Linked DNA regions of Elephas maximus indicus. The protein of the gene in region 2 purifies or fractionates together with the protein of the main gene of each other region. This does not show direct contact. Links are inferred from orthologs where the notes say so. Each region holds a gene or a part of one and is shown on either strand. Other genes may lie near its edges. The genes, in order: ARMCX3 and RANBP6.

The links.
Region 1: the proteins of RANBP6 (region 2) and ARMCX3 purify together in Homo sapiens (co-immunoprecipitation; 3 studies listed by BioGRID and IntAct, counting the BioPlex papers as one, with this or other methods). This does not show direct contact. The link is inferred for Elephas maximus indicus from reciprocal best matches to the Homo sapiens genes RANBP6 and ARMCX3.

The regions. Positions count from the first base shown.
Region 1 is NC_064846.1:56,576,500-56,592,627, forward strand, and holds ARMCX3 (armadillo repeat-containing X-linked protein 3), read right to left. Parts: upstream 7,888-16,128; 5' UTR 7,750-7,887; intron 7,744-7,749; exon of another isoform or gene 7,595-7,743; intron 7,245-7,594; exon of another isoform or gene 7,217-7,244; 5' UTR 7,137-7,216; intron 6,900-7,136; 5' UTR 6,832-6,899; intron 6,562-6,831; 5' UTR 6,490-6,561; intron 6,202-6,489; 5' UTR 6,056-6,201; coding exon 4,916-6,055; 3' UTR 3,159-4,915; downstream 1-3,158. Other genes in the region: protein ARMCX6, read left to right, coding at 16,038-16,128. UniProt on the Homo sapiens protein: Regulates mitochondrial aggregation and transport in axons in living neurons. May link mitochondria to the TRAK2-kinesin motor complex via its interaction with Miro and TRAK2.
Region 2 is NC_064827.1:15,962,446-15,978,571, forward strand, and holds RANBP6 (ran-binding protein 6), read right to left. Parts: upstream 8,530-16,126; 5' UTR 8,527-8,529; coding exon 5,209-8,526; 3' UTR 3,662-5,208; downstream 1-3,661. Other genes in the region: uncharacterized protein KIAA2026 homolog, read right to left, coding at 1-538. UniProt on the Homo sapiens protein: May function in nuclear protein import as nuclear transport receptor.

The DNA.
Region 1 (16,128 bases), on a different chromosome or scaffold from region 2:
CTCCTAGACACTAAATCCTGAACACATCTCTTTTATGCTACAACTAAGATGATCAATATACAGTAATGGTAGTTGCAGCACTGTGCCTGTTAGGTGAAATATTAGAGACCTGGAAAGGGAAGAGGGAACAGAGTGGGAAAACGGATGAATTATGAGTAAAAAAAAAAAAAAAAACAAAATGAATTATGGGTAGAAGTGTAAAAAGACTTTCTGAAAATCTTTAATCTATCTCTCAGGTAGACATCTCTAAACCAAAAAACCAAACCCACTGCCGTCGAGTCGATTCCGACTCATAGGGACCCTATAGGACAGAGTAGAACTGCCCCGTAGAGTTTCCAAGGAGCACCTGGTGGATTCGAACCGCCGACCTTTTGGTTAGCAGCAGTAGCACTTAACCACTATGCCACCAGGGTTTCCAGACATCTCTCGGTATGTCTAAAGAACAATATATGAAGCAAAGCACTGACGCAGCAGTGAATAAACACAGAACCATGAAACTGATTTCGATCAAATCTCACTCAAATCCTAGTCCTGCTCCCACAAGACCTTCCTAGGAATTTTCAGTTCTCCAAAATTCTCCAGTCTCTTGTATTATTTCCATAGGTCATTAATCATATTCATTGTGCATTTCAAAATTTATATTATCTGCCACTGAAATGGAGCCCTGGTAAAATATTATGTTTTGGGCATTATGTTTTGATAAGAGAGCTGAATCCCATCCTTGTAAAATCACTTTGAGCAAAATTTGAACTGAGATAGGACCCTCCCCTATTCCTAAAACAGTTAAATGAGAACAAAACAGCAGGCTTTTCTCTGAGTTTTCCAATTTCCTTAGCTGCTCAGGAGCAGCCATCGTGTCTAAAGAGAGGATCCTGCCTCCTCCCTGTCCTCATGAACAAGTTCACCACGACAATCCCCCAAAAGTGTGAGAGTGATAATGTCCAAAGTGAAAACATTAGGACATTGGTGTGTAGCCCGACCCTGTGACCGGCCTGGATCAGGCAGTTACGCAACTGTCTCACACAGCACTTCTCTCAAAGTCCAGAAAAGCCAGGTGGGGGACATCAAAACTGCATGCAGTGCACGGAGGGCTGTGTCAGTCTAAGGCTAGTTCATTCTTTCCCAGTCTCTGTTCAACAAGGGTTCCAAAAAATCTTGGTATTCAGTTGCAACCAGAGTCACCTTATGACTATAACAACGACAATTACTATTCCGTATTAAATGCCCAATGGTGCATGAGAAAGGAGGCCTGGTTGCACAGTGGTTAAGCAGCGGTTCTGCTAACAGAAAGGTTGGCAGTTTGAACCCACCAGTCACTCCATAGGAGAAAGCTGTGTCAATCTGCTTCTGTAAAGATTACAGCCTTGAAAACCTTATGGGACTATTCTACTCTTGTCCTATAAGGTTGCTATAAGTTGGAATCAACCCAACGGCAACAGGTTTGTTTTTGGTGTGTGCGATAGTTTCATGAGAATTAAAGGGTCATCTCGAAAGACACAGAAGCACATCAACCCCTAAAAACTATCACCAATTATCTCTCCGGGAGGAAATAAAAAAGTATGAGGGAGGAAGAAAGAAAAATGAGAAGGGACAACCAAACCAAATCCACTGCCGTTGCGTAGATTCTGACTCATAGCAACCCTATAGGGCAGCTCCATAGGGCTTCCAAGGCTGTAAATCTTTAGAGGCAGACTGCCACATCTTTCTCCTGAAGGCTTGTGCCCCTGCCTCGCTGTGGCTTTTTATTATCATTGTTGTGTGCTGTAGAGTCAATTCCGGCTCACAGCGACCCTATAGGTCAGACTAGAACTGCTCCATAGGGCTTTCTGGCTGTAACCTTTATGGGAGCACATTGCCAGGTCTTTTCTCCCACTCGTGTGTTCAAACCGCTGACCTTCCTGTTAGCAGTCAAGCACGTAACCATTGCGCCACCAGGGCCCCTTGGCTTCTTATTACTGGGAAGTTAATGTCATGTTCACCCCAGCTGCAAGAGTCACTCAGCACCTCAAGATCAACATGCCTTGAAATGAATATTTCTCAGATGCTCAAGTTGCATATCTGGGTCAGGGGACAAGTTTGCAGTCATTGCCTCTATTTTCTCAACTATCTCTAGTAAATATTTATTATTATTTATTATTTTTGTGAGGAAAAAATTAAATCAGATTCTGAAAATGTATCTGCAGCATGATCCAACCTCATGTGAAGAATATATAGATATATGTGTAGTAAAAATGTCTGGAAGGGTATACACTCAGTTTCAATTCTGTCCTGCTCTCCACAGCTGTCACAGTCCCTTACAGAATTCTATTTGCAGCCCTCGGCCCTTCACTCTGCATCTTCTCTCTGAAGGACCACATCCACTCCTGTGTCCTCAATCCCAAATCCTATCTGCAGCCCGCACTTCTCCTCTGAACTCTGATTAATGCATTCAAATGACAACAGTGTGTTCCTATCTCAATGTCCCAACAGGTACCTCAAACATTATTTTATTGTTGGTTTTTCGTTTTTTTTTGTTGTTGTTGTTGTGGTTAATTTGTGACTTAAGAGACCCCTGTGTTACACAGCAGAACTGCTCCACAGGGCATTCTTGGCTGTAACTTACAGAAGCAGATCGCCAGGCCTGTTTCTTCCATGGTGCCACTGGGTGGATTCGAACCAATCTTTTGGTTACCAGCCAAGTGCAAACCATCTGGGCTAACTAGGTACCTTTCAAACTCTATTCCCCATTTTAAGCTGGATTCATCCTCGTTCCCTCCCAAATCTGTTTCTTCCACCTAACAATAGGAGCAAGGAAAATTTTAATTCCCTTCCCCTCATCCCCGCCCCTTACAACTCGTGTCAAATGAGTCCCCACTTGTACATGGTTCAGTAGGGTCACCATACCCAATAACTGTAAACCAACCAGTCTCTGATCCTTTTGTCTACTACAGACATTAGAGTATCTAGAGACCTGGAGTTAAAACTAGTATTGAACTAGCCAGAAGATTTTACTCTTTCCTGGCCTCATACAATAAAATAGGATACCATCATCTGGCCTTCCAAACCAAGTAGGACTATGTTGTGGAGGTTGGTGAGATCATGTCTGAGGAAACACTTGGTCTCTTAAAAAAGAACAAAAACTTTATTCCTTTGAGAAACTATTTGGAAGGTTGCTTTGCAGGAATGACAGAACTCTACAAATAGTCACTTAATAAATGTTAACTTTTATTGTTTTTTTTTTAATTAAATGACACTGACACATGGCAGAATACCCCAGCAAAACAAAGGTCAACCAAAAAACTATCAACCCTGCATTCTAAGGAATTAAGGGTGCTCACTTTTCTCGATTAACTGCTATGTGCCAGAACATTGTAAGTACTTTGCATGTATTACTTCATTTAATCCTCATGACAAGGCCCATCTTCTCCACTTATCTGTCATTTCAGAGAGGAAGCTTCGATTTCAGAGAGGAAGCACTGAATTTTTAATCCAAATGTTTTTTCCACTCAGTACATACTCCAGTCGATCACCTGCTTCATTCCCAATACTTTTCTTTTTCAAAAATTTCCTAAAAATCAATGCTCATTATAGGTAAATGAGAACACATAGATGAATAAAAAGTAAAAAGGTAAAAATCACTCATTTCCCACCCAGAGATAAGACTGTTTGGGTATCTATATTTCCAGAGTTTGTAATGTCTATTTAAACATATGCTTTACTATTAAAAAAAAAGTGCAATCATACTATGATTACTGCTATCTAACTCTACCTTTCTCACTCAACAATGCATGGTGAATATCTTTTCCTGGCAATGTAAATTTTCATCAACATATTTATTGCATTCCACTGTGTGAACATGCCATAATTTATTTAACCCACCCAGTGTACTAGACACTTAGGTTGTTCCCAATTTTTACTACTTTAGATAGCACTAGGATGAACAGCCTTGTACATATACTGTTTGGCCAATTATCCAGTTATTTACTTAGGACAAATTCCTGTGAGTCAAAGAGTTTACATGTTTGAAGCTTATGCTATATATTACCAAATGGCCCTCCGCAAACCTGGTGCCAGCGTAAACTCATTCCCATTGCCAGGGTTTGAAAGTGTCCATTTTGCCACGCTCTTTCCAACACTGCACAGTAGGAGAGAAAGATTTTTATATGGGTCCCAAATATTCTATCTAGTTGAAAATATTTAGAGGCTCTCAGTGTTCAATGAGATAATATTCAAACAGCTTTCCACAAACTAGCCTCATCCAGCCCTCCAAATGTATGCCCTACTCCCACTTCCCACACTCTCCACTGTAAACAGATTGGTTTCCTCACCGAAACAGGGTTCCTACCTCTATGCTTTTCTCACCCCATCCTCCCTCACTCCTATCTCCTCCAAGAAGCTTTAGCTGACTATCCTTACCCACAGAAACCTCTGTCTCCTCTGTACTCTGAGAGTGCACATTTGACAACAAGCATACGCTCAAGCTATTCTGTTATCTTTCTGTCTGTACGTTTCTTATCTCTTCAACTAGATTATAAACCAAAAGACAAAGATGGTTTCTGTCGTTCTTTCCCTTTTTTTCCTTCCCCTTTTCTTTCCACAATTCTATTGATGAGACACGAATGAAGTCAATGCAAATGACAGAAAGGAGCTCACTTACGATGAATTGGTTCACTGTCACTTATGCTGAGAAAATAGAAAAAACATTTCCATCTAGGCAGCAAGATAAAAAGCAACAAACATGTTTTCAGAACAAGTATAATATTCATTCATCCAGCTGAAACCTGAAGGCCAACTTGGAAAATATCAGCATTGATGATACAATATGATATTCATTATTCAAAATTGGCAGCTGAAAGGATTCCTTTACCAAATAAACAAGGTGGAGAAAAGGACTAGCTTATAATACACATTGCTTCTAGACTGCAAAATTAAGACGTTATTCCTGGCTCTTTGGAAACATATGCTCAGCCAGTTTGGCCATGAATTTTCCAATTTTTACTTTCACCAAAAAATCATGGTGACTTTCTATTCCCAAAACCTTATCAGCACATACTTGAAATTCTTTAAAAAAGAAAAAAAGTGAACCTTCGCCGAAGTGGTTCTGAGTAGGTTCATTTTCTTCCCATTTAAAATTGTCACTTATATTCTCAAATATGATCAAAAGTTTAAGAATAATATCTTTGTTCTCCTTCTTATTAAAGAGGGAACCCAGTGAAGACGGTACTTGGGCCCTGAGCAGTTCTCTAGTCATGGCTGGATTTTCAGCCAGATTCAAAAGGAGTTTCAAAACCTGAAGCTTGGTTTCTTCATTTCCTGCTGAAAATAAACGAAAAAAGTCTGAAATGGAATTAGCAAGCATGTGCTGATGCTCATTGGTAACAGTCATATTTGTAAGCAGTCTTAGTCCAGCCAGCTGCACAGATGAGTTCAAGCGAGACGTGACTGTGTCGTCACACACTTGATTCATGTATATCTTAAGCCTGCGCTGATTTTCAGCATTCACGCTCAAGTTATTCAGAACAATTAAAGCTTTTTCCTTAACTATGGGATCGCGGGTATTGAGAATCTTTGCAACGATTGGGAGACCACCCAGATCCCGAATAATGTCTCTATTAAATGCATAAGCAGCATTGTTACCCAGAGCAATTAAAGCTGCTTCAAGAATATAAGGCTTTTCAGACATCTCAACCAAGCAAAGAACTTTTTGCAGCTCTAGAGGGGACAAAATAGTATCATCTGAATTGGGGGAAGCCCGTTTCTGGACGGCCCGACGTGCCCGGGTGGCCCTGGCCCTGGCCCTGGCCCTAGCTCTGGTCCCGGCCTCAGTCCCAATCCGGGCCCAAGGCGGGTACCATACAACGCCCTTGTTCTCATTGTTGTCGTCATCATCATCAGACCAGTCGTTGTACCTGCCCCCAGAACAGTCGCCAGTATCATCCATATCCCCAGACCCGCCCTCAGCCATTTTCTCTTTGTTCTGTTTTCTTCCTCTGGTCAGTCTATAAATGCAATAGCAGGCACCAGCCCCGATCACCAGTCCCGCTGTCACCCAGCCTACTTTCCTAGCGTAGCCCATGCAATCGTCCCTGACAATAGCAGGGACCAAGGAACAGAGTAGTCACTCAGGCCGGGGGAGGATGGCTGTGGGCCTGGATTTAGGCCTGTGGAGGGTAGTAGTCTTCAGCCACTTCAAGGCCACAACAGCTGATACTGCAGGTGGACCTAAGAGTGGAGGAATGAAACGGAATTTGACTTTCGCTTCTCTTTGTGTCCTCCCAAGAGGAGAGTTGCACCAAGGGACAGGAGAGTAGTAACTGAGTGCTTGGTGTCAAAGGTGGATTGTTAAACTCTCTCTACGCCCTTCATTTCACCCTCTCCCAGCACCGCCCCCCTCCCAGCTCACTCCCACCCGGACCTAGATAAAAGCAATGGAGCCCAGGGACTCTGCTAGGGCTCAGCCCCACCCCTCGCCCCTCAGCCATTCCCAGGGAATAGCACCCTTTCACTAACCTCCACAAGACAGGGCAGTTTGCTCCTTCTTCCCTCCCCTGGAGGTGTGCCACGCCCAGCAACCCTTGGGATCTGCAGAGAGACCAGAGCCAGTGAGGACTGAGGGCTCCATGCACAGACTAGTACCCTGTTCCCCTGTCAGTTTCCCGATTCACAATCCGATTGTCATTTTCTTTAACCTCTCTACCCCTCTACTCCATTCAAAACATGCTCATGCCTGCCCCTCTCCCTTAGCCTGAAATGGGAGGGATGGAAGGAAAATAAGGCAGCAGCGGATGAGCTGGTCCAAACTTCAGCTGATCTCCGGCCCCCCCCCCAGACAGCCCCTACCTCCACACCAACCTCGACTGCTGATGGGGGGGAAACTTCCTCCCTCGCTTCAAGCGGTGCCACCTGCTACAGCAGACCTGCTGGATGACAGATCGAAAACATGGGGACTAACTGCTGGATGAGAGAGGAGGATTATGAACAAACTATCTGATAGGTTTCCCTCCTGCCACCCTCTCCCCTCTTCCCCAACGCACGCCATTTCCCCACAGTCCCGGGAGTGAGAAAAATACTCAGACTCAGAGCTGAACCTAGATTACCATCTCTGGTTTCTCCCCACCCCCACGCCCGCCCCTCCTGGGGTCCGCAGATGACCTTACCCTCAAATCGACCTTCACCGATCGAGGTTGATTTCCTTCCTCTTCTCTTGCCCAGCGTTGTGCCGAAACCTACGTAAAGACTGGCCACCCGAGAGAGGATCGGACCCACTAGACACAGAGCCACGGTCAGGAAGCCACAGACACAGACAGAAAGACGGGAAACAGCCGCTACTGAGTGCTTGCTGGACGGACCAGTCCCCAGAACACGAAACTCTTTTCAAATTCGGAGGCCCGATTGTCAAAGGGTTCCCACCCTTATTACCTCTCTCGGGGCTCCGCTAACACACCGCGTTGCACCCCACCACCTCCCCATACCCAGCTTTACCCGCCGGCACTGTCCTGGTAAACTGGGAGCCAACACCCAGGCTGCAGCTCCCTTTCCGGATTGCAAGCCTCTGCTCCCAGCAGATTCCCACCTCCAGATCTCTGGGCTCCACCCCAAATATGCCCCTGCTCACCGTTTCGAAGCATCTAAACGGCCTGCGAGCGGGACATACGTCTCGGACAGCGGGAGGCGAGGGGGAGAGACGGACCAAGGCGCCCCAGGACCCGCGACGGTCTCCGCCCTACGCCTTGGGCTAACCCCACCTTATGGAATCTCCTAGGCACTGACCTGCAAGAATCCGGGACAATTGCCTTCTCCTCCTCCTTCTTCCCCCTGCAGCAGGCCCGCCCGCCCTCAGGGCAATGGGGAGCTGGTACTCAGACGGGAACAACGACCAGGACAAGAAGGACTTCTGCACACGTCAGCTCTTGGTCACGTGAGAGCTACGTCATCCACCAACTCGGGTCCCCAATTTCCCCTCCCACCAGCAGTGCGGCAGAAGAGGGCCCGCCCCCCTCCTTTCCTTCCCCTGTACTCGGCCTTGTCACTTCTTTCCTCCTCGCTAATCCCATCTCCCTGTGGTTGTATTCGCCTTCCTTTGACTACCAGAAAGGGACAGCATCCTCCCCTGGGGCTACTGGCTACTTGTACTTTTTTTTTGAAATTTTACCTCCTCCTTCCTGGGCTCCTGGGACAGCAGACTCTCCCTCCACCTCCTCTCCTTCCAGCTATTAATGTCTACCATTTCCTCTGAAATCTAGTCCTAGATCTGAAATGCACAAGCCATCGGAAAAGGAGGCCTAGGAGTGAGAGTGTGGTTTTTACTTTCTTAATACTTTTTTGTTCTTTTTGTCTGCCCCTGCTCCCACCTCCAGTCTGCATTCTTTCTATGAGAAAAAAAAAAATACAATAAAGCTATTTTCATTTGAGTGGGAAAAAAGGAGGAGTGGGAGATTGACGTTAGGTGATGGCCTCCAAAAGTTCCACATTTTCTCCCTTTACGGGCAGCGTTACCCACTTCACTTAAAACAATCTTAATGTTTTCTGGGCCCTGGCACATAACACAACCCTGAACAAGCTAACTAATCATTGCGTCTGAGAATTTGTAAATCTTCTGGCTAGGCTGGTCTTTTACATGGGAAAGCTACAGACTTTTGCCCCCATCTGTTATCAAGGAAGAGGCATTGAGCCCTCAGAAGCCAGAAGCACAGAAAAGGTGGAGTAGAAATCACAACTTCTTGGTGGGTATCTATAAGATAAAGAAGCACGCACACTGACAAAGTGAGTGACCTGCAAAGACCATTACAAGATAGTCTTGGGTAGAAGTAGAAAATATCACCTTGAAATGAAATAGATATTGAGGAACACTGAGACCAAGACAAAATTGGCTGAACTCTGCATCTAGCAATAGAGTGAAACTCTTCCACTGACTGGTTTGATGATCTCAATGATACATCTATCATCAATTATTTAACTTTTTTTTTTTAAATGGGAGAAGTAATAATGTCAGAACAGGGCCTGTGTATAACTTTTAAAAATCTACAGACAATATGAGAGTAAATCAAGAGTCTGCAGAGTTTGGGAACAGGTAAAGCTCCAAGAAAATTCATATCGAGTAACTTCTGGAAGGCAGTACTAGGATATGATTGAAATTTAGTAAACAGAAACCACATCAACTATATGGCTCTGTGTTTACAGATATATCATGTGAAGGGAATTATTTAAGCATAGAAATATATGAAAAGGAAAGTCAGAGTGAAATGTTGGTAGTTTCCAACCCAAGCACTGTCTGGGGAGAAGCCTTGGCTAAGATAAATGGAACATTTAGCTTTCCTTGCCAGAGCCATCCCCATGATGTGTAAGTGCTTCAAGCTCCCTTAGCTGAAAGCTACTTCTTAAGGTGAACCGACTGTCCTTTCTCTGATCGCAGGCTCACCAAGCAACCTTCTGAAGATGTGACTTCCCAAATAGTAGCTTGCCTACATGGAGAGAACAGGCTGACTGACAAAAACCTCCAGTACCCCCTCACAGTTGTATTTCTCAGGGTAAATTATTCAGCTAGTACTCTGTTAAGACTTAGCTTCCCTCATGGCCTACTTACAGAGACAGAATGCAGAGATCCATGGGTTTGAGCATGCAAATCTAAATTTATGGAAGTTTCTGTGAATGGGAGACTTCCCTTGACAGAGGCATTTGCTCTTATTGTACAGAGTCAGAGGTTGATCACTTAACACTGAGGACAAGACTGAACTGGAGATACAACCTTGTGGTATCCTGTCAGGGAAGCTAGGTGGCCTTGGGTCAAAGGACAACCGTGTGTATCACTATTTCTGAACTGTACCCCCCTAATGTTAGGTTACACTACAATTAAGATATGCTGTGGTCCATAGGGAAACCCTGGTGGCGTAGTGGTTAAGTGCTACGGCTGCTAACCAAAGGGTCGGCAGTTCCAATCTGCCAGGTGCTCCTTGGAAACTCGATGGGGCAGTTCTACTCTGTCCTATAGGGTTGCTGTGAGTCGGAATCGACTCAACGGCACTGGGTTTTTGGGCTGTCGATAGGCCCCCAGTGCTTCAATCACAGCTAGACAAAGGTTTACTATCCAAAGCAGGTAAAAAAAAAAAAATTGCTGTCAAGTCGATTCCAACTCGTAATTCATAATGACCCGATAGGATAGAGTGGAACTGCCGCATAGGGTTTCCAAGGAGCACCTGGTAAATTCAAACTGCCAACCTTTTGGTTAGCAGCTGTAGCACTTAACCACTATGCCAGAAAAAAAAAAAATTTTTTTAGGGCTCCTACAAATAAACAACGTTTGAAATAGTTCATATTTCTCTCTGGGAAAAGAAGTTCATTTTACATTTGATATACCTTTTCATTTTCCCACCAAAAGGCTGGACATGTGACCAAAACAGGCCAACCAAATGCTCTCTTGCTAAAATTTGAATCTTGAGCAGAGAGATAAAAAGCTGAAAATCATTGGAATTATGGTATCCTGACAAAACCATCTATCAATTCCTGCTACCCAGACCCCTGAGAGCTGACCCTGGTTGTCAACATTCTCTCATTGTTTAAGTTAACCAGGTTTGGGTTATATTGCTTGCAACCAAAGAAGCTTAACTAATAATCAATATCCCAATGCAGAAAGTAATATCATTTTTCAAGATAACAATCCTCTATAATGTATTTTCCTCACCCTCTCCAATTCCATCAGTGTTACCATCTGCAGACCCCTTTTTTGTTTTCAGGCACTATACAGCATACCACATTTGACCACATACTGATTTAAGCCAAAACATTCCTTTTGGCTGTGGCTTCGCATACTCTTTTGCAGGCTCAGGAACTTTTAACAGGCGTGTTTGAAATATTGCTTAAGGATTTTTCCCTTTTTGCTTTTGAAAGAGTATGGCAGGCATAAACATGCCCCGAAATAAATGTTAGTAGATCTATAATGGAGAGCAAAGTCATTTTTAAGTACTAGTTCCCAGGTTCCTTGGTAGGAATTATGGGTCAGAATGACAAAGTGAGAGAAATGAAAAGGTTGTCACGCCTGTGGGGTTTTTAGATAGAGATTCAAACCTGTAAATTTTCTGACAGACTGTGGGAGAATGGGGGTCTGAGGAGTGGGAGTCATACACTGAAATAACTGGAGAATGTACAAAGGGGGATATTTTATTACTAGCGAGGAGAGGTAAAAGTGAAGTGTTTGTCCTTGAAGCCTGACGGAGGGTTGTGAAAATGAGTCCTTATTATAGAACCATGTCTATGACAAGACACCTGTCTTTGCTAAGCGTTACATACTTTTTAGTCCTTTCTAGTGTATATATTCAAAACCAATAAGACCCACTTATATAAGTACCTAGGAACCAAAAACCGAATGATGACCAATTAAATCTGAAATGCCTGTTTGGAAGGCGTCATAAATGGAATTTATTTGTCTAGGAGAAGCGAACAAAGGGTGATAAAAAGAACAGTCTAAATTCAAAAAGAAAGACCAGACTTGCTGGCCTGACAGACACTGGAGAAACTCTGAGAGTATGGTCCCTGGACACCGTTTTAGCTCAGTAATGAGGTCACTCCTGAGGTTCACCCTTCAGCCAAAGATTAGACAGGCCGGTAAAACAAAACAGGACTAAAGGGGCACACCAGCCCAGGGGCAAGGAATAGAAGGCAGGAGGGTACAGGAAAACTGGTAATACGGAACCCAGGGTTGAGAAGGGAGAGTGTTGACATGTCGTGGGGTTGTTAGCCAATGTCATAAAACAATATGTGTACTAACTGTTTAATGAGAAACTAGTTTGTTCTATAAACCTTCATCTAATGTACACTAAAAAAAGAACATTCCAAGGGAATGCTGGGGAAACAAATGTGGTAGTAGTCTAGGAGAGGTGGAATATAAGATTGGTGAGTGTGAATTAGAAAAATTTGAGAAAGACCAGAAAGTGGGGACATGTTCTTCTGAAAATTCACCAGCAAAACTCTGTAGGCTCCCTGGCTAGCCTCAGGGAAGGGCCTTCCTTACACTGGGGCCCCTAAAAGGGGGAGCTTCCTGCTAGGGTGTCATATTTCAGCGTTCTAAGAAAGAGGCTGCCTGGAGGGTCTATATTTAGAGTATGACTCTGGGCAGGGACAGGTGGATGTCTGGGGACTAAATTCTGCATATGTTGTCCCTGAGTTCTGGGGTTATTCTGAGGGGCTTAAGTGGGTGGTACAGTGAAACTGGAACAGAAAACAGGGAATGAAAGGGTCTCTTTCTCCTGGCGACTGCTTGGGATCCTGTCCTTCTACATGAGGGAAAAATGACCCGGACATCCAAGGGGTGTTGCAGTGATTTGCAGTCATCCACAGGCCCTCACCACCATCTCCACTGGAAAGTGCTGAGCACTAAAAAAGGAAAAAAATGTTGCTAGGGAGTCAATTCTGACTCATGGCGACCCCACATGTTTCAGAGTAGAACTGCGCTCCATAGTATTTTCAATGGCTGTAATCTTCCTGAAGTTGGCACAGCACCGCTGGGTGGATTCAAACCACCACCGATTCAGTTAGTAATTGGGCGCAAACTGTTTGCAATACCCAGGGACCTAGCCACTGCTATAGTTACATGAGTGATGGACACTGGAGATATCTCTCTCACCAGTGCCATGATAGAAGGAAAATTCCACCAGCTAAGCCTAATTTCCATTAGTGAGAAATCAGGGAATTCTCAAATTTCTGGATGATTTATGAGTTGCACCATGAAACTTCTCAACAGATTTTTTTTTCCATTTAAATTTTTTTTATTGTGCTTTAGGTGAAAGTTTACAAATCATGTCAGTCTCTCATACAAAAACTTATACACACCTGGCTATGTACTCCTAGTTGCTCTCCCCCTAATGAGACAGCACACTCCTCCTCTCCACCCTGTATTCGCCGCATCCATTCAGCCAGCTCCTATCCCCCTCTGCCTTCTCATCTCGCCTCCAGACAGGAGCCGCCCACATAGTCTCATGTGTCTACTTGATCCAAGAAGCTCACTCCTCACCAGTATCATATTCTACCTTACAGTCCAGTCCAATCCCTGTCTGTAGAGTTGGCTTCAGGAATGGTTCCTGTCTTGGGCTAACAGAAGGTCTGGGGACCATGACCTCCAGGGTCCTTCTAGTCTCAGATCATTATTAAGTCTGATCTTTTTATGAGAATTTGACGTCTACATCCCACTGCTGAACAGATTTTAAATAAAGCCCTTTTAATGGAAAGCAGGCTAATATATGAAGTGACTAATTGTAAGGTTCAGCATTCACCTGAAGGTTTCTAGGTGGTGCAAACTGGGCTGCTAACCTAAAGGGTGGCAGTTTGAACCCACTCGGTGGTACAGCAGAAGAAAAGCTCTGTCGATATGCTTCTGTTAAGACTTGTTGTTAGTTGCCATGGAGTTAACAGAACTGCTCCATAAGGTTTTCAATGTGGTCCACTACAAGCCAAAAGGTTGGCGGCTGAAACCCATCCGAGGAACCTCAGCACAGGCCTGGAAATCTGCTTCCGAAAAGGCCACAGTCTTGAAAACCCTATGAGCAGTTCTACTCTGCACACATGGGGTTGCCATGAGCCGGAATTGACTCAACCGCAAGTAACAACAGCAAGATTCAGCTGGAGCTGGAGGTCTGCAGCCAGAGTGAAAGCCATCTAGCAACTGTCTATGAAGACCATCTCAGCTGACTGACATCTAATACCATGAATTGAGACAGGAGGAAAAGGAACAGTGGTTTACTTATCTAAAATGGCCACAATTAGACCACTGACCTTCTCAGATTGAAAGCACACTGGTTTTGTTTGTAAGGCTTATATAATTATTATCATTTTAACACACTTACTGTGTAAAAGCTGCTATTGCCTATGAAGCCAGAAGAAGATGTTTTCAATGCGATACAAATTAGCTTAACCAAGTCAATGAGGTCTTCCAATGAACTGGGAATGCTTACTTATTTTATATATCTTTCATTAAAAAATATTTTATTCTTTTTTCTCCAAGTGAAAATAGCTTTGTTGTATTTTCTGATTACACAAAAGTGTTGCTTAAGCCAATACAAAAAGGGCAGAAGAAATAGAACATAAACGTATCAAAAATATTAATAAAAATCTCACTACTATTTGGAGTTCCTTTTCTGACAACCCCCCTCCCCATTTGGTGCAGGGACTGGATGGAAGAGGGAGAAATCAAGGAGAGGGGGTGCAGAAGTTTCAGAGCCTAGAAAAGGATGAGACAATTCCCCCAAGATGTGTGTAAGCGAATGGTAGCCCCAGGAAAAGATGCTGCCCCTTCCCGTAATTGTTGTTGGGTGCCATCCACTGATTCAGACTCATAGTGACCCCATGTGACAGAGCAGAACTGCCTCATTGGGTTTCCTAGGCTGTAATCTTTAGGGGAGTAGATCGCCTGATCTTTCTCCCGCGGAGACGCTAGGTGAGCTCCAATTGTCAACCTTTCGCTTAGCAGCCAAGCGCTTAACCATTGCGCCACCCGGGCTCCTTTGCTGTAATTACAAAAAAGCAAATTCAAACTCCAGGGAGGCAGGGCCACTTCTGGTCTCTGGTATTGTTAAAGAGAAAAAGAGTGACAGGGCCCAGGGTAGTGGGGGGAGGTACGGGGCGGACTGGCGCCTGCCGCACTGCTTGTGGGAGTGGAAATTGGGGGGCAGAGCTCACTGGTGACGTGGTCCTCACGTGACCAAGGGCTGCTTAGAGCAGAAGTCCTGCTAGTCGCCTCCGTCTGGGTACCAGCCCCCTATTACTCTGCGGGCGGGTTGAAGGAAGAAGGAAACTCTGTACCATGCAGGTCTGTGTGAGGGTGGGCGCTGCTTTGAGGGAGGAGGGGTGGGAGAGGGCCAAGAGCGCCACGGGGTCAGGCTCATCGGACCCATCGGGCTGTTGTCCCCTCCTAGCCTACTTTCTTAATACCCCTCCCCCCTCTTGTCCTCTGCCCCTGTTAGTAGAGAAAGCTGGCGGGCTTCGAATGGGGGTGGGGGAAGCGGACGGCGGTTCTGGAGACTCGGAGGAAAGAAAGATTCCACAAACAGGGCACCCGTGTCCCTGGTGCTGGTCCGTCCACCAAGCAGCCAAACCGTCCGTCCCCTCTGTCTCCTGTCTCTCTGCAGATTTGTAGATCTGTTGGCCTGTAGGTCGCAGCTCCAGTCGCGGAGAGGGAAAGAGCAAACTGCGCTGGAACCATACAGGTCGGTGTGAAGGAGGGATTAGTCCGGGACCCTGGGTGGGGGTGGCGGTGGTGGCAGCGGGTCTGGAATCTGTGCGGGCCAGGTCCGAGTCGCCCTCTCCCGGCCCCTTCTTTCTCCACACCCCCTCCCATTTCAGTGCAAGGAAAGGGGTGTGGCGGCCTTTGCAGGGGAAATGGCGGACGACGAGGGGGGCCGGGAAAGCTCGCGTTGGGAAAAGTCGGGCTGGGAAAAGTCGGAAGAGTGTGGGAAAGATTTTAAACTCAGGGTCAAGAATTCAGAAAAGCGAGTCTTGGGACCGATGTCCTCAGTGCTGATACATGCACTACACTTTCAGTTTTCCACTTCCACCTTTCAGTCTTTCCATCTGTCCTTCTGCCGAACTGCCCACCCATCACTGTGTAGGGAGCACTGCCAACAGAACAAGGGAAAAAGGAATTTACCTGACTCAGGTAGAGATTTTTATCGGTAGAGTTTGGTAGGTGAAACTGACTAGCTGAGGGTTTGCCTCTCCCTGGCACCCTTCTGGTCATCTTAGCAGGACCCCATCTCTCCACCTTCTCCGTGAGGCCTAGAAGAGAAATGATGGGCCCTGGGGATAGATAGGGGGTGACAGAAAGGAAGAAAGAAATAGTTAGCTAATAATTCACCTTTCTCACCAACTGTCTGCCTGCCTGGTGAGGCACAAACCCTAGCCCAAAACCCTAACGCTCTTTTTCATGCATAGATTCATCACAAGAGACTTGAAGGAGCCTAAGAAAGGCTGAAGACTACCACCCTCCACCACCACTCATTTGGGCCCTAAAAGACCCCTTCAATCAGGCTGAGCAAGGTGTTCTATCCTGCCCCAAGGCTGCCATAGACTTGAGTATGAGTCGAGCTCGGGAAGTGGGTTGGATGGCAGCAGGACTAATGATTGGGGCTGGTGCCTGCTACTGCGTTTACAAACTGACCGTGGGAA
Region 2 (16,126 bases):
TCATCTCCAGCTTCTGGCCCTGCCTGGAGACCCAGTGGTCCACGCCGTGCAGGCGGTAGCACGTCTCCAGCATCGACCTGAAGTCCGCCACGAACTCGGTGATGCCCGCGTACTGGCCGCGGGAGAACTTCTCCTCCATCTTCAGCAGACACATGCCCGGCCCGGGCGGCGGAGCAGCGCGGCCACCCCGGGCCCCGGCGCGCGGGCCCTCGGCCGCCTCCTCCTCCCCGCCGGCGACGCCCCCCACGGGCTGCAGGAAGGGAGCGGTGAGGCCGCGGTGCTTCTCCTGCAGGAATTCGCCCAGGATCCGGTAGCCCTGCTGCAGCTCGTAGGGCAGCTCCTGCCCCTTGCAGCCGCCGGCCGCGGCCGTCGTCGCCTCCTCAGCCCGGCCGGTCGCGTCCTCCTGCAAGGCTGCACTCCTCCCTCGGGCCGGCCTGGCGGCCCCCGCCTCCTCGTCATCCTCGTCCTCGGCCGCCGCCGGCGGCCGCTCCTCCTCCCCGGCCGGCTCCATCTCCGCCGGCGTCTCGGGCGCGCTCATGCCCGCGGCAGGCCCGGGCTGGGCGGTGTGGAGCAGCCGCTCGAGGCGCCGGGGACGCGTGAGTGCGGGCCGCCTTCTTACGACCCGGCCGCGCCGCGCCGCCCGGGCCGCATCGGCCTCGCTCTCCTCACAGCCGGCTGGGCGCGGAGCGCGCGGGGGTCTCTGCTCTCCGCCGCGGGGCGGGGTTACATGGCGCGCGGGGAGGGGGAGAGGAGAGCCGAGGCGCCCTCCTCCCCCCTCCCCCCGGCGGCGGCGGTGCGCGCGGCCCGGCCTCACCCTCGGCGCCCCGCCCGCTCCTCACCGGCCGGCCGGGCCCGGCGGCCTCGGCGCCCCACCCCCTCCCGGGCCGGCTGCGAGGCTGGGAGGGGGCGAGAGGAAGGGGGTGCTCTTCTCGCCTCCCCGGAGGGGCCGAACGCTGGGCCGCGGAGGCTCGGGCTCCTCCTCCTCTCCCTCACACCCCCTCCCGCCCCTCTCTACCTGCGGGGGACCCGGGCAGGAGGAGGCGCCGCGGACGGGCCCGGCGACAACTGTCAGTTAGACGCCCCGCTGGGCGGGGGGGAGGGGGGCGGGGGAGGGGGAGGGCACTCAGTCCCCCTGGCCGGGCGAGCACTGGAAAAAGGCAAAGAAAGAAGGGCCGTCGCCATCCCCGATGCGCATGCGTAGTGGAGCAGGTTTTCCCCGCCCCCTCGCGTCCAGTCCCGCTACGCTAAGGCGAGGACTTCGGCTCTGCTACAGGCCCGGGGGTCTGATAGACTGCGCGGACCAATGATGTCATCAACTTGTAGCGATTGTGAAGGGCGGGGCGGGGAGAAGCAAGGCGCCTGCGCGGCTTTACACACCGCCTCCCGGGAAGGGGGCATGGGCCTCTTTATAAAGTAAGTGCTGTCAGATAATTTCTCCTGGGAGGCCTTTATTAGCCCTAGAAACTAAAATTAACCCTAAAGGAGGTTGTTAGATGACCTTTGTTACTGACAGATGGGTAGTGAGAAAGCACAAAATCCTATCCATTCTAAAATTGACGTTCGCTTTGCACCACTCCTGCCCCTACCTCCGTTGTGACTGCGGGCCTTTTATATAAATCCAGAATTTTGAAACGTTTGGAGAGAAAGTTAAGGACTTGACCAACGGAAACATACGTTCACATGCAAAAGGCAAGGAGGTGATTTATAGAACTCAAGTGGTTATCTACAAAACTAGTTTCGGAAAATGCTGTCCCCAGTTCTTAACATGAATTCATATTTTGGAAACTAGTCTCATATTTTCCATTAAAGCAAAAAGTAACACTTCCACACTCTCCATTCTTGAGACATGTAAGAATACAGGAATCGAAGAATGCGACCTCACTTAAATAACATCCTTGGGACTCTAAACAGTCTCCAAGTATTTCCAGTCAGCTATACAGCATTAAGTAGTCATGTCAACGTGGCCTTAATCTAGTTTTAAATTACTGTTTAAATGACTAAAAAGGAGACTCATCATTCACATAAACGTACATTTTGCTTAAAGTGGAAAGGAAGAACTAATGGTTCCATAAAGGAGCTGTTAACTATTTTTTCCTGTTCTTTTGGAAGGAGGCACATAGAACTTTTTCTACTTGAACAGAGCCCTCTCACTTGAAACTTGGAATTATTTGAACAGAAAAACAAAATTATAGAAATCAAGCAAGTAAAAGTTATATTAAAGTGGTCACGGTATTCTAACTCCTGAGACTGTTTATTTCTCACTAATGAGACCCTTCAAGCGCTTACAAAATTCAAAACCTCAAAGCTTTCTTTGGGAAGTTAAATCCAGTATAGTGGATACATTTTGAGGGTATTGACATTCCCCCTCCATACCCCCCCCATTATCTAATAAAAAAAAACTCTAAATAAATAAATGCCTTATCAGATATTTATACTTTATTGGTCTTTTGCAGCTTTGTCTCTCTATTCAGAGCCCAAATATGTCTGAACTTCAGCAACTGGAGTCTGACTAAACCCACTGCCATCAAGTCTGTTTGGACTCATGGCAATGCTGTAGGACAGAGAACTCCCCCATAGGGTTTCCAAGGCTGTAACCTTTATGGAAGGCGACTGCCCCATCTTTATCTTTCTCCTGAAGAGCAGCTGGAGGGTTCCAACCACGGACCTTCCAATTTGCAGCTGAGTGCTTCCACCAGGGCACCTGTCAGCAGGGCTTCTAACCAGTTTGAACCCCTTCATTCCAGTTTGAACCCCTGCTGAGAATTTGCATTTCTAACAAGTTCCCAGAGGATGCTAATACTGCAATACTGCTGGTTAGGGACCAATTCTGAGAACCCCTAGTAGAGCAGTGGCTCTCAAAATTTATTATACATGAGTCACCTGGAGATCTTGTTAAACTGTAGATCTGATTCAGCATATCTGGGGGAAATGCACATTCTCAGCAGGAGTTTGAACCTGAATGAACCGGTTCAAAGCCCTGCCTGTCAGACGGAACGTCTCTAATTTCCTTTGATAAAGCCCCAGAATGTAAAACCCACCCTACCCAAGCAAATATCCTCTTCTCTTCTTGGCCACCAACTTTATTTCATGACTCCCAGAAATTACCCCAGGCCACCAAGCACTTTACATTCATCATTTCTCATAATCCTGTGGGTATTATCCCCATTTTACAGGTGGGGAAATTGATGCTTAAGAAAGTAGTTTACCAAACTTCAAATCTGGTTCTGTCATACCTCAGAAACTCCAGATGCCTAATTCAAAGTTGTCTGGCAGAATTCCCAATTCCTCACGCACAAGAGCGTAGGTAATCGCTAGGAATGTTGATCAAAAACAAACACCACCCCAAACCCACTGCTGTGGAGTCAATTCGGGCTTATATCACCCTAAGACAGAGTAGAACTGCCTTATGGGGTGTCCAAGGCTGTAAATTTTTACAGAAGCAGCCTGCCACATCGTACTCTCGAGGAGCGGCTGGTGAGTTTGAACTGCCGACCTTTTGGTTAGCAGCTGAGTGCTTTAACCACAGTGCCACCAGGGCTCCCTGTTGATTAAGAGCCTCTTAGTTAAGGGATATAAAAGCAAGAGTTGTGGGTAAGTAGAATGGTCCCCAATTCTAGTTCATGAAGAGGCCAAGGACAGGCCCTGTAACTTTTAGAAAACTTTATTATGCAAGAAATATGTTGATATAAATACATTAGAAAATATGAGTAAGTGAAAAGAAAAACTGCCATTTTATCCTACCACCCAGAGGTAACTTCTGTTGATACTTTGTAGTGGGATTTTTCCATTTACTCATCTATACTTTTTATCTTAAATGAACAACAAAATTGTGATCGCTCCATTAATAATTGTATGGAATGGACAGGGATTGCGTTATCTAAAATCTCAACTTCATATCCCTGTCTGAACTGGTAGTTGGTGAACTGAGATCGTAATGTAAAAGGAATTCTAAACACAACAAAGAACACAGCAGAGGTACAAACAACAGCAACAACAGCTACCATTTATTGAACACTTATTAGGTCTTAAATATTTGCTGAATACTTTACATACCCAGTACTCACAATAGCCTCAGGAAATCATGACAGATGTATTTGTTTATTAGTTGTGGGATCAATTATTTTTTGAGTAGACAGCTTTTCTCCTACCATACAAAAAGCTCGACATTAAAGACCAACATTCCAATTAATATAAATAATCCTAGATTTATAGAAATCTAGGAAAGGTTTTCTCCTAATGTATATCTACTGCTGAATGACTAGTCTCAAAGCTGTTTTCTTTTTCATGTTTAAAGCTAAAATTAACTTTTCCTTTTCACTTTCACAATAGAATATTCCAGTGCTACTACAGAATCTATAAGGAATAGTCGTCTATTTAAGCCCCATTCTAAATCAGGGCTTCTGTTCTTGTTGAGCTGCTTTCCAGGGTGGAAAATGGCATACATACACAAAATGATACACTGCTTAAACACGTAACACTAATTGACTCCTTCCATAAATACTGGTTACTTACTATTTGTCAAACACTGTTTCAGTATGCTATATGCTACCAATGTTAGATGTACCAGGATTCCCTTTTCAGTAGCCATGGTTCTTGGAATCCTGGAAAACTTAAGTAGAGAACAGCCTAGTTAAGGAGGTTTTAAAGTTCTTATAACTCTCAGCTGGACACCTGGGGAATTAGACTAGGGATACGTCCCACCCAGGTCCTAAGAGTACACTATGAACTCTCCACACTGCTGCAACATCTCAAAAATGTCTCCCAGTTTCAGCATCCTCCCATTACCATGACAGCCAGGCGTGTTACAAAGTAGGAATAAGCCTGCCATTAGTTCGTTCCCCTACAATTCCAAAGACGTTTGTTCTGAAAGTTCTCGTATTTTATGTTTGTGAGTTCTTACTACCATCTTGTGGTATTCAGCATGACATCTTGACACCAAGTATATTGCTTGCCCAGCATCAATACGTCAGACGAACAGCAAAAATGTATATACTTCATATCAACTAGGGGAAAAGTGACAAACATTCTAAGACAATGGAAGCACAGGTCATCACCAAGGGTCTGTGTTTAAGAGATAAAACATGCAAGGTGGACAGAAGGCTGTAACACTGACTAATCCTGGAGAAATGTGGCAAAGAGATATAAACTGCTGATATTTATTTGGAGTTACTTTTATGGTAAATGATATTCAAGTGATATTAAAGTGCTTCAAGCAAAATTTAGCAACGCCTGTAAGGCTGCCTGCTGTTCCTCATCAAGTTGGGATACGCATTCCAACCATAACTCGTCATCAGTCTGGACCTGGCGCACAACATTAGCTAGGCGTTTGGCACAAGGATCTTCACAGTTAATTGTCTCATTAATTTTTCCTTCAGCAATTATACTGATTATTTTGGGAAGATTGGAATTATTTGGACCAAGTACAACTGGGTGGTTATTTTCAATTAAGTCACAGAGAAAACTCAAAGTCTGAAGAGCTTCCTCTTTATCCTCATGCAGTGGAAGCCATGATAACCAGTGTGGAAGAACTTCATCCACATTCACACAGTTAGGCTTAAACCTCAAAATCTTCCCTATTGCTGAGATACAATTCTCTGTAGCAATGACACTTTTTTTGGTTTTAGAATTTGCACACTTAATAACTTTTACCAGCAGTGGAACAGCTTCTGAACATAAAGAACGATAATCATCTCCACCAAACTGTGCCATAACTCCCAGGCCATAGGCAGCAGCTTGCCTGACTTCAGGGTTATTGTCCCGCATGTTTAGTAGCATCGGCCACCGAAAATAGTCTACGTATTTAAACGAGGTCGGACTGCAGTGCTCTATGATATCATCAAATATGCATAGTCCCCACTGTCTGTCTGGCCATGGCCTACTTGAACAAATTAGATTTACAATTAACGGAAGTAGCTGCTCAAACCATGGTAAGATCTTTTCCTTGTAAGTACTAAATAATGAGTGCAAGATATCTGATACTTTGGTTAGAATATAAACATCGCATTCATCCTCGTCTTGCAGAGACATTTCAATCTGCTGGTCATAGTTTTCTTCCTGCCTTTTAACCTGTCGCAATTCTTGGTTTTTAAAGTGCCCTTCGAGCTTTGCTTTCAGTATTCCTCCCAGTTCTTCCAAGTGCTCATCATTGAGACACCCATCTCCCATTACTTCGATGGACTTTGCAAAAGAATTCATTATTTCTGAGAGTACATCTGCATCAGGTTCCGTCCCAATAGCCTTGATTAAGGGATCACATATGAATTGCCACATCAGTGCAAGATACTCCGGTCCATTAATTTTTGCACATTCTAGCAGAAAAGGCATGGACTCTGCTGCTGCCACTCGAACATTGTCGTGGAAATAAAACTTCAGTAAGGGAACCATCAGCTTCACAACTTGTTCCGTATATTCCACAAATCCTTCCCTTAACTCCTTAGCATAGTAAACCAACATCTGGCAAGCAGTCGCTTTTGCTTCAAGTCCTGAAGTTTTAATTCCAAAACTCTGCTGGTCTCCAAGATTTACAAACTGCCAGCCATCATCATCACTCATATTCTCCACATCCTGCGTGTCTAAGAGAGCGACATCAGGTTTAGCTGAAGCAGTCTTAATAAGAGGCTCAATAACCAGTGGAAGGTACTGTTGAAAATCTTTGCCAAGAATTTTACACATCCTAGCCCATGCTGAAACCATGTAAGAGATCTGAGGGTCATCATCTTCCATGTTATTTAAGTCTGATTGTGTCTTCAACAACAGCTGCATCACGTTTGATGCATCTTGCATAAATTTTTCCTTCCCAACAGCAAGGCCAACATGGCTGATGCATTCAATAGTTTTTCCTTTCAGAAGCTTGAGTTCCTTTTGAACAGCAAGCTCAACAATGTGCTTTAGAGAGGGCATAAATATATCATAGTACGGAACAAATTCTTCTTCTATTGTATCTGCAACTGAGGCAATGGTTGTCACAAGCTGTTCCAAGGCCAACTTTGTTCCATTCCGAATCAATTCTTGCAGTTTAATCACCAGGATGGAATGTAAGTTTTTCACCATGCTATCTAAATATAGAGCTAGCAATGATTTGGGGCAGTCTTCGATAAAAATAATAAGAGCAGAAGCTGCATGTGATTGCACGCGCTGATTACCTTGATTTTCCATGGTACGCAACAAAGCTGCAATCACTGTTTCATGGAATTTCTTTTGGAAACTAGGTGCAAAATCTGTAGCCATCTGTCCAAGTGTACTACAGGCTGCAGCCCTCACCCTCGGGTGAGGATCCTGAAGAAAATGCAAAACAGAGTTAACCATTTCATCTAGAGTTGATTCCATTTGCTGATGGCATCCTTCTCCAATGGCAGATAAGGCCATTAATCCAGCATGTCGATATTTCCAGTCAGGGCTCTGAAGCATCTGCATGATATGCTCCTTGGTCATTGGTAAAACCACTTTTCCACCGAGTCCACAAGCCAGTCTGTCTAGTGCACTCTCGGCAGCAACTGCATTGCTGTCAAAATCATCTTCTTCCATTTCATCAGCATTTACCCAGTCCTCGTCATCTTGTAGATCAACCATCATCGCTAATATGTGAGGGATAGCCTGTGCAATAATATTTGTATATTTCTTCAACATTGGGGTTGCCGTTTCAGACAAGGTCACTATTACTTCAAGAGCCAGCTGGCGTTGCAGATTACTAAGCCTAGAGTCGCTGCATAACTTTAAACTCAGCTGCAGAGTATCTTCTAAATAAGGGCCCAAGTACTTAGGAACAGTATCAGCAATCTCAACAAGGGATTCCAGGACGGAATCATCATCCTGGTAGCAGGAGTCATTCACAGCCTGTAAGATTCCTGGCAGCAAGTCTGCAAAGTCTTTGAAAAGAGCGACATTATTCTCATTAGCAAGGACAAATGCAGCTGCAGCTCTAGCGGATAATGTCCTGATAGCTGGATGCTCCTGATCTTGAATACACTGGTCCAACAACCGTTTGATGATATCCAAATCGTGCCGCTCTTGGTTCCCAAAAATCCCAGGAAAGTGCCAGAAAACGTGAATTGCAACTTCCCATAGAACCACATTTTTAGAGTAGATGGAATCAATCAGGAATTTCAAACCTTCGGGCCAGTGGTTAGTGCCATCCTCATCTATCAAATTCCTGGCCAGCACCGCAAAAATATCGCAAAGTTTTTTCCTCATGCTGGCATGTGTTTCTAACTTCACAGCCAGTATTAGTTCAATCTTGACGTCCCTCTGAACATCAGGAGGTAGGTTTGGATAGACTTCCTCAAACCCAGAGGACAAAAGCCGTCGTAGCAGTGCGGCAGCCATTTGTCTCACCTCATAACCTGCTCTTCTATTTCTGACGGCATCTATGAGGAACGTAGTCTTACACAGACCCGGGATATTTTCATAGATCTCCTCGGCCTGCCTCCGCACCATACAGCTTGGATTGATGAGGTTCTTCAGAAGCTGGTAAAACTCTTGCTTTTCCGACACGGCAGCGGAGAAACCCGCAAGCCCGGTAGCCGCCATCGCGCTCTGTCAAAACTAACGCGACGGGGGCAGAGGGAGGGGGTCTGCGGCTCCGAGCACTGACGTAAGCGACGCGCCGGCGTGGGCGGGGGGGAGCGCTTCTTCCTCCGCTTGCCGGGGTACCCAGGCTGGGAGCTGGCAGGGAGGGCGGGGAGGTAGAGTGGGACACTGCGAGAGAGGAAGAGCTTGGGGGGTGTCCTCCATTTGTTTTCCAATCAGATACAGATAATGTACTTGCATACGAAGAAAAAATATATATGTATTGATTGTATCCGAGTGGGATTATGAGTGATTCCCCCCTCCTTTTTTTTTTTTTTTTTGTAGTGGTTCGGCTGCTAACCAAAAGGTCAGCAGGTTGAATCCACCAGGCGCTCCTTGGAAACCCTATGGGACAGTTCTGCTCTGTCCTGTGGGGTCACTATGAGTGGGATTCGACTCGCCGCAACTGGTTTTTTTTTTTTTTTTTTTTTTTTTTGGTTTTCTCTAGTTCTAATCTGTATTGTTGTTACCTGATAATTTAAAACAATAAGTACACCTTGTAAACATGGTTAAGTGCAAGAAGCCAGTCACAAAAGACAACATATTGTATAATTCCATTTACAGGAAAGGTCCTGAATAGGCAAATATAAAGAGACAGAAGGTCTATGAGTGGTTTCCTGGGAGTGGAGGAATTGGAGGGAGACGGGGATTGAGAGCCAATAGGCCGAGGTTTTTTTCAGTTTGTCCTAAAATTGGTTGTGGTGATGGTTGCACAACTCTGCGAATAGACTAAAAGCCACTGACTGTACAATTTAAATTGGTGAGTTGAACAGTATGAATTATACCTCAGTAAAGCTGTTTAAAAAAAACATTAAGTCCAATAAAAGAATAAGTACGATGATTTGTGCTCCCCCGCCCACTTCTAATTCAGTAGAGCAGCAGTCCTCAAATTGTGGTGTGTATAAGAACCACCTGGTGGATTAAAAAAAAGAATTAGTAAGACAACTATGGTAAAAAGTAACCTGGGCTAGTAATCAGAAGACCTGAGCCTAGTCTTATCTCTAAATTAATTCTGTAGCCTTGGTTATGTCACTCAAAGTTTTTCTTGTATGCTCGCTAAATTGTAAAATGAAAGGACTCAGCTGTTAGAATCTCTAAGTACCCTTTCAAGGTATTAGACGAGGTACTGCATTGGGCAAATCTGCTGCAAAATCCCTCTGTGAGGTGTTAAAAAGCAAAGATGTCACTTTGAGGACTAAAATGTGCCTGGTCCAAGTCATGACATTTTCAATCACCACCTATGCATGTGAAAGCTGGACAATGAATAAGGAAGACAAAAGAAAAATTGATGTCTTTGAATAATTGTGTTGGTGAAGAATATTGAACATACCATGGACTGCCAGAAGAACGAACAAATCTGTCTTGGAAGAAGTACAGCCAGAACGCTCCTTCGAAGTGAGGATGGGGAGACGCATCTCACATACTTCAAACATGTTATCAGGAGGGACCAGTCGTGCTTGGTACATGGACGTCATGCTTGGTAGAGGGTCAGCAAAAAAGATGAGACCCTCAACGAGATGGATTGACACAGTGGCTGCAACAGTGGGCTCAAATACAGCGGTTGTGAGGGTAGCACAGGACCGGGCAGTGCTTCGTTCTGTTGTACATAGGGTTCCTATTGGTCAGAACCAACACGATGGCATCTAATAACAACAAGTCCCTATTGAGGTTATTCCAAGAAACAAGTGCCCCTGAAGAACTATTGTTTTCTTTAATTCAGGCAAGTGTGCTAATCAGAAACAATTTTCATTCCTCTAAGAAGGTTCTAACTTTTGTAGGAGCACTTGGCCACTCTCATTTTGACCCTTATATAGGTGTGTGAGGAAACCCTGGTGGTGTAGTGCTTAAGAGCTATGGCTGCTAACCAAAAGTTTGGCAGTTCAAATGCACCAGGCACTCCTTGGAAACTCCGTGGGGCAGTTCTACTCTGTCCTATAGGGTCGCTTTGAGTCGGGATCGACTCGACGGCAACGGGTTTGGTTTTTGGTATAGGTTTGTGAGGTTGGTAGGATAGGTAAAATAATCCTAATTTTAGGTGAGAAATCAAAACTCAGACTAGTTAAGGGATTTGTCTAAAAGACACAGCTGAGTCTCAGCCGCACAGCTCCTGAAAGCAATACCAATGTTCTTTTCACCATACCATTGTTGTTATCATGTGCCATTGAGTAGATTCTGACTCATAGTGACCCTATAAGAGAGTAGAACTGCCCCATAGCGTCTCCATGGCTATAATCGTTATGGAAGCAGGCTGCCACATCTTTCTCCTGCAGAGTGGCTTGTGGGTTCAAACCGCTGACCTTTCAGTTAGCAGCCGAGAACTTAACCACTTCGCCACCAGCCCTGGTGGCACATCAATTAAGCGCTCTGCTACTAATAGAAAGGTCGGTGGTTCAAACCCACCCAGTGGCTCCGTGGGAGAAAGTATGTAACAATGCTGCTATGAAGATTACAGCCTAGAAAACCCTATGGGGGCAATTCCACTCTGTCACATGGGGTCACTATGAGTTGAATATCAGCTTGAAGGCAACTTGAAAAATCAACTTAACAACAGCAACAGAATTTCCTTCCGTGAACCATCGTCTGTTTGGCCATACCACTTCCCTATAATTACCTTTCTGGTTTTGCAATATGACCAGAGGCCTTCATTTATTGCAAAGTCTGTCTTAAACTTCTCCAGGCAGGCTTCATTTTGTAAGATGCTGCTGCATATACCCTCCAATACAGAAAATCACAGCTTTAGCACTAACCAGATGATACACGAAGTAGGAGTGGGCAGTGGTAGTTCAGTGGTAGAATTCTTGACTTCCATGCTGGAGACTCAGGTTCAATCCTCGGCCAAGGCACTACATGCCCAGCCGCCATTCATCTGTCAGTGGAGGCTTGCATATTGCTATGATGCTAAGCTTCTAGGCTAAGACAGAGTAGGCCTGGCAATCTGTTTCTGAAAAATCAGCCAGCGAAAACCCTGTGGATCACAGTGGGTAGTCTCATAAATTACACTGTAATATGTAATAATATGCTCACTTAGGAAGAATCCTATTCTCCATCAACAGTGTTTCTCATTCTGTGGGCTGAAAACCAACTGCATCAGAATCGCTTGGTATGCTTATATCATAATACAGATGTTCAGGTCCGAGCTCCAAATCACTGAATCAGAATTTCTGGAAAATGCAAGCCATGAATTTTCCATTTTAATAAGCATACTGGGTTTTCATATAAATACCAAATTTTGAGAACCACTAATAAGATCAGTTCTGATTCTGACTCCAAGATCTTGACTGCAGTTCTTCACTTTGCTCCAGACTCACTGGTATTCTTATTGTTCCTTGAAAAAGTCTAACTGCAGGGCCTTTGCCTTTGCTGTTTTGGGAAATCTTAATAAGCGTATGGGAGAAAGGCTTCTCCTGACACTATACTGTTAGTATATTGAGGACTTATTGTCAATGACAATGAGATACCACCACACAACCACCACAATGATTTCCACAGAAAAGACTGTCATTACTAAGTATTCGTGAGGATATGAAGCAACAGGGAACTTAGTTGTATTTTTTGGTAGTAGTATAAGTAAATTGGTACAACCACTTTGGAAAAACTTTTGGAAAATGCTGGGTTAAGATTATACAAGTAGTCATTTATTCTCTTAGCAAACATTTATTGAGGGTATACTCAAGCATGCTGCTGGGTGCTGGGATTAAAGACTAAATACAAAAGGATGCTCCCGGTCTAATGAGAGAGAGTTACTGTCACACAGTGTAGTGATCACTGTGGTAATGGTTAAGTCTGCCACAGGACCACAAAGGATTGGGTCTGGGGGACATCAGGGTAGGCTTCCTGGAGGAAGTGATATCAGAGCTCACTTTTGAAGGATGAATCCTCATTAACAATTTGAAGAAAGAGAAGAAGGTTGTTCTCAGCAGAGGAAGCAGCCTGTTGAAATGTGGAGAGGCCTTCTGAGCCTAGTGTGATGAATGTTCTTCTGATATTTCAGGATGGCTGGAGCAATTCATATCGAACTTGGGGTGGGGCAGGGGGAGGGAGAGGGCTTGGGATGACACAGGTGGCAGGAAGGACAATGGCAGAAAGTTAAACAGACGCCAGATGACGAAGGGTCTTATATTCCATGTTGAGAAATTCGGACTTTTTTTTCCCCAAAGGTAATGAGGAGCTATTTAAGGACTTTAATCAAGCTTGCAAAATGATCTAATTTGTATTTTTGAAAGTTTGCTTTGATAGTAATGTGAAAACTGAAGTGTGAAGGCTGGAGACATTTAGGAGGCCAGTAACCTAGTTTAGTTAAGAGTTGGAAGTGTGAATCATGGCAGTGGTGAAGGGAAAGAGACGGGGGCAGAGCTTGGAGGAGAAGTTTTTTTTTTTTTCCACTTTTTTTTTTAATTAACTTTTATTGATCTTCAAGTGAACGTTTACAAATCAAGTCAGTCTGTCACATATAAGTTTATATTCATCTTACTCCTTACTCCCACTTGCTCTCCCCCTAATGAGTCAGCCCTTCCAGTCTCTCCTTTCGTGACAATTTTGCCAGCCTCCAACTCTCTCTATCCACCCATCCCCCCTCCAGACAGGAGATGCCAACACGGTCTCAAGTGTCCACCTGATATAATTGGCTCACTCTTCTTCAGCATCTCTCTCCTACCCACTGTCCAGTCCCTTTCATGTCTGATGAGTTGTCTTCGGGAATGGTTCCTGTTCTGTGCCAACAGAAGGTTTGGGGACCATGCCCGCCGGGATTCCTCTAGTCACAGTCAGACCATTAAGTATGGTCTTTTTATGAGAATTTGGGGTCGCATCCCACTGATCTCCTGCTCCCTCAGGGGTTCTCTATTGTGCTCCCTGTGAGGGCAGTCATCGATTGTGGCCGGGCACCAACTAGTTCTTCTGGTCTCAGGATAATGTAGGTCTCTGGTTCATGTGGCCCTTTCTGTCTCTTGGGCTCTTAGTTGTCGTGTGACCTTGGTGTTCTTCTTTCTCCTTTGCTCCAGGTGGGTTGAGACTAATTGATGCATCTTAGATGGCCGCTTGTTAGCATTTAAGACCCCAGACGCCACATTTCAAAGTGGGATGCAGAATGTTTTCATAACAGAATTATTTTGCCAATTGACTTAGAAGTCCCCTTAGAGCATGGTTCCCAAACCCCCGCCCTTGCTCGGCTGACCTTTGAAGCATTCATTTTATCCCGGAAACTTCTTTGCTTTTGGTCCAGTCCAATTGGGCTGACCTTCCATGTATTGAGTGTTGTCCTTCCCTTCACCTAAAGCAGTTCTTATCTACTAATTAATCAGTAAAAAACCCTCTCTCTCCCTCCCTCCCTCCCACCTCGTAACCACAAAAGTATGTGTTCTTCTCAGTTTATACTATTTCTCGAGATCTTGTAATAGTGGTCTTATACAATATTTGTCCTTTTGCCTCTGACTGATTTTGCTCAGCATAATGCCTTCCAGGTTTGGAGGAGAAGTTTTAAGAGGTAGAATCGATAGCATTTGGGGTGAGGGGAGGAAAAGCCTAAGAAATCTCCCCAAGTTGTGGCATGGGCTTCTAGATGGAAGCGCTTCGATTTACCTGTTTATTTACCTTTATATGAATATTAAAGAACAGTGTCGATGCAGAGGAAGAATAGGTTTGTTCCAGCCCCTGTATTTGCTTTCTAATTGCCGCCACACACTAGAATGGTGGTCATCATTTCACCAGTAGGAGCTCCACGGAATCCAAATTAGGGAAATGATTTATGGTCTTTTACTTTAGAAAAAGCAGATACTGATTTAACATCTTAAGGTGCTTCCTCTCTAGATTACATAATTCTGTTCTATTTACTTTTTGCATTGTTATTCCGTCCCCCCACCCCTTTATTTGCCTAAAAAGCCCACATAACACCCAGAACTTCAAGACTGTACTTGCAGACTGGGGTAGTGTTGAACAACTTTGTTACATTTGGTAATTAAAATGGTCTTTGCTTAGCACCACTGAGAGGCCAGCTTGAGAATGGTTCCACAATGTGGCAGAGTAGAATTCAGATAATTCAGGTGCTTATTAACAGATTACTAAGTGGGAAAAGTTCAAAATAAATTACAAATTTCTTCCAAGATCAAAGAGATTTAGTCAACTGAGGAGAATAGAATTAAATTGGACATACCTGACATTTTCACAAGAATAAAAATACAGAAAGAAAAAAATTACCACATAGGCTCCCACCAGCTTAAAATGGGACAATCTGAAAGTAAATAAATAAATAATACCTGCAATGGATTAAAACCACCAAATATATAAACGGAAGCCATGAGTTTCCATTGATATTTTTAAGAAGCCGCTAACTCATTCAGCATTAGTGGAGATTGCTAGGTGAGCAGCTCCAAGAATTGATAAAGGGAAAATAATCAAGATGTTTCTACCTTTCCTCTAAAACTCTACAAGCTGTTATTTCAGGATCACCAAATAATTGATGAGGCAAGGTCTTCTGTATAAGTTCCAGCTATTAAATGCATAAAGAAGGCTAGAATCAGAACACTACTGTACTGTAGCCCCAAGTGAAGTAACGAATCTAGGCAACGATGACCAATGGATGCTAAGGCCATTAGGTGAAACATTGACTATGGGAATTTAATAACAGGTGGATTAGGCTGGAACCACCTGAATTTACTGATTAATCTTAACAGTATTAAAAAGTGGAATAAACCAGACATGTTTACCTGTCATCTCTCAGCTCCACATCCACACTTTCTATAAGTCGTTCTGTGATGCTTAGGTTGTTGTGTGCCATCCACCCTCAGGACAGAGTAGAACTGCCCCCAAAGGGTTTCCAAGGCTATAGGGTCACTATGAGTTGGACTTCACGGCAGTGGGTTTGTTTGTTTTGGTTTCAGTCTTTATGAAAGCAGACTGCCACATCGCTCCTCCATCGAGCGGTTGGTGGGTTTGAACCGACAACCTTTCGGTTAGCAGCCGAGCCCTTAAGCACTGTGCCAGCAGGGCTCTTATACTGAGGTTAGGGTGTGGAAACCATATTTCTCCTTTCATAGCTGAGTCCATGTTAGGTTCTATCAATAGGATAGGTTGGAGGACAGAAAAAGGACTTGATTCTTCCTGTCTTTCCCAGATTGGCCCAGCAGCTGTCCTTCCTCCTGGCGGATGCAGCTCCTGCTTTTGCAGCGCTCTATAAGCAGCCACATCCCATCTCTACAGAGGTCCCAGCAGTAACCTGGGGGCAGCCCTCCCCTGAGGTTTCACCGGCAGCTTTGGGAGACTCCTCCTCTGAGCTCACGGGTACCTGTTCTATCCTGTTTCCCCAGTTTTAGGGGTGGCAACAGCTCCTGCAGTTATCATCAGATCACCTCGGAGTTCTTCACTCTTTCACATCTGTGTAATCAATCCCCTAAATTAAATCTCTTGAAGTATGCAATGGGGTTTTCCCAACTGGACCTTGACTCGTATACCAACCATTGAGTGATGCATTAGGAACTACACAGCACCACCTATGAAGTATTCTTTTTATTTTGAGTCAGCTTTATTGAGCTATAATTTATACGCAATAGAATTCCCTAATATATGT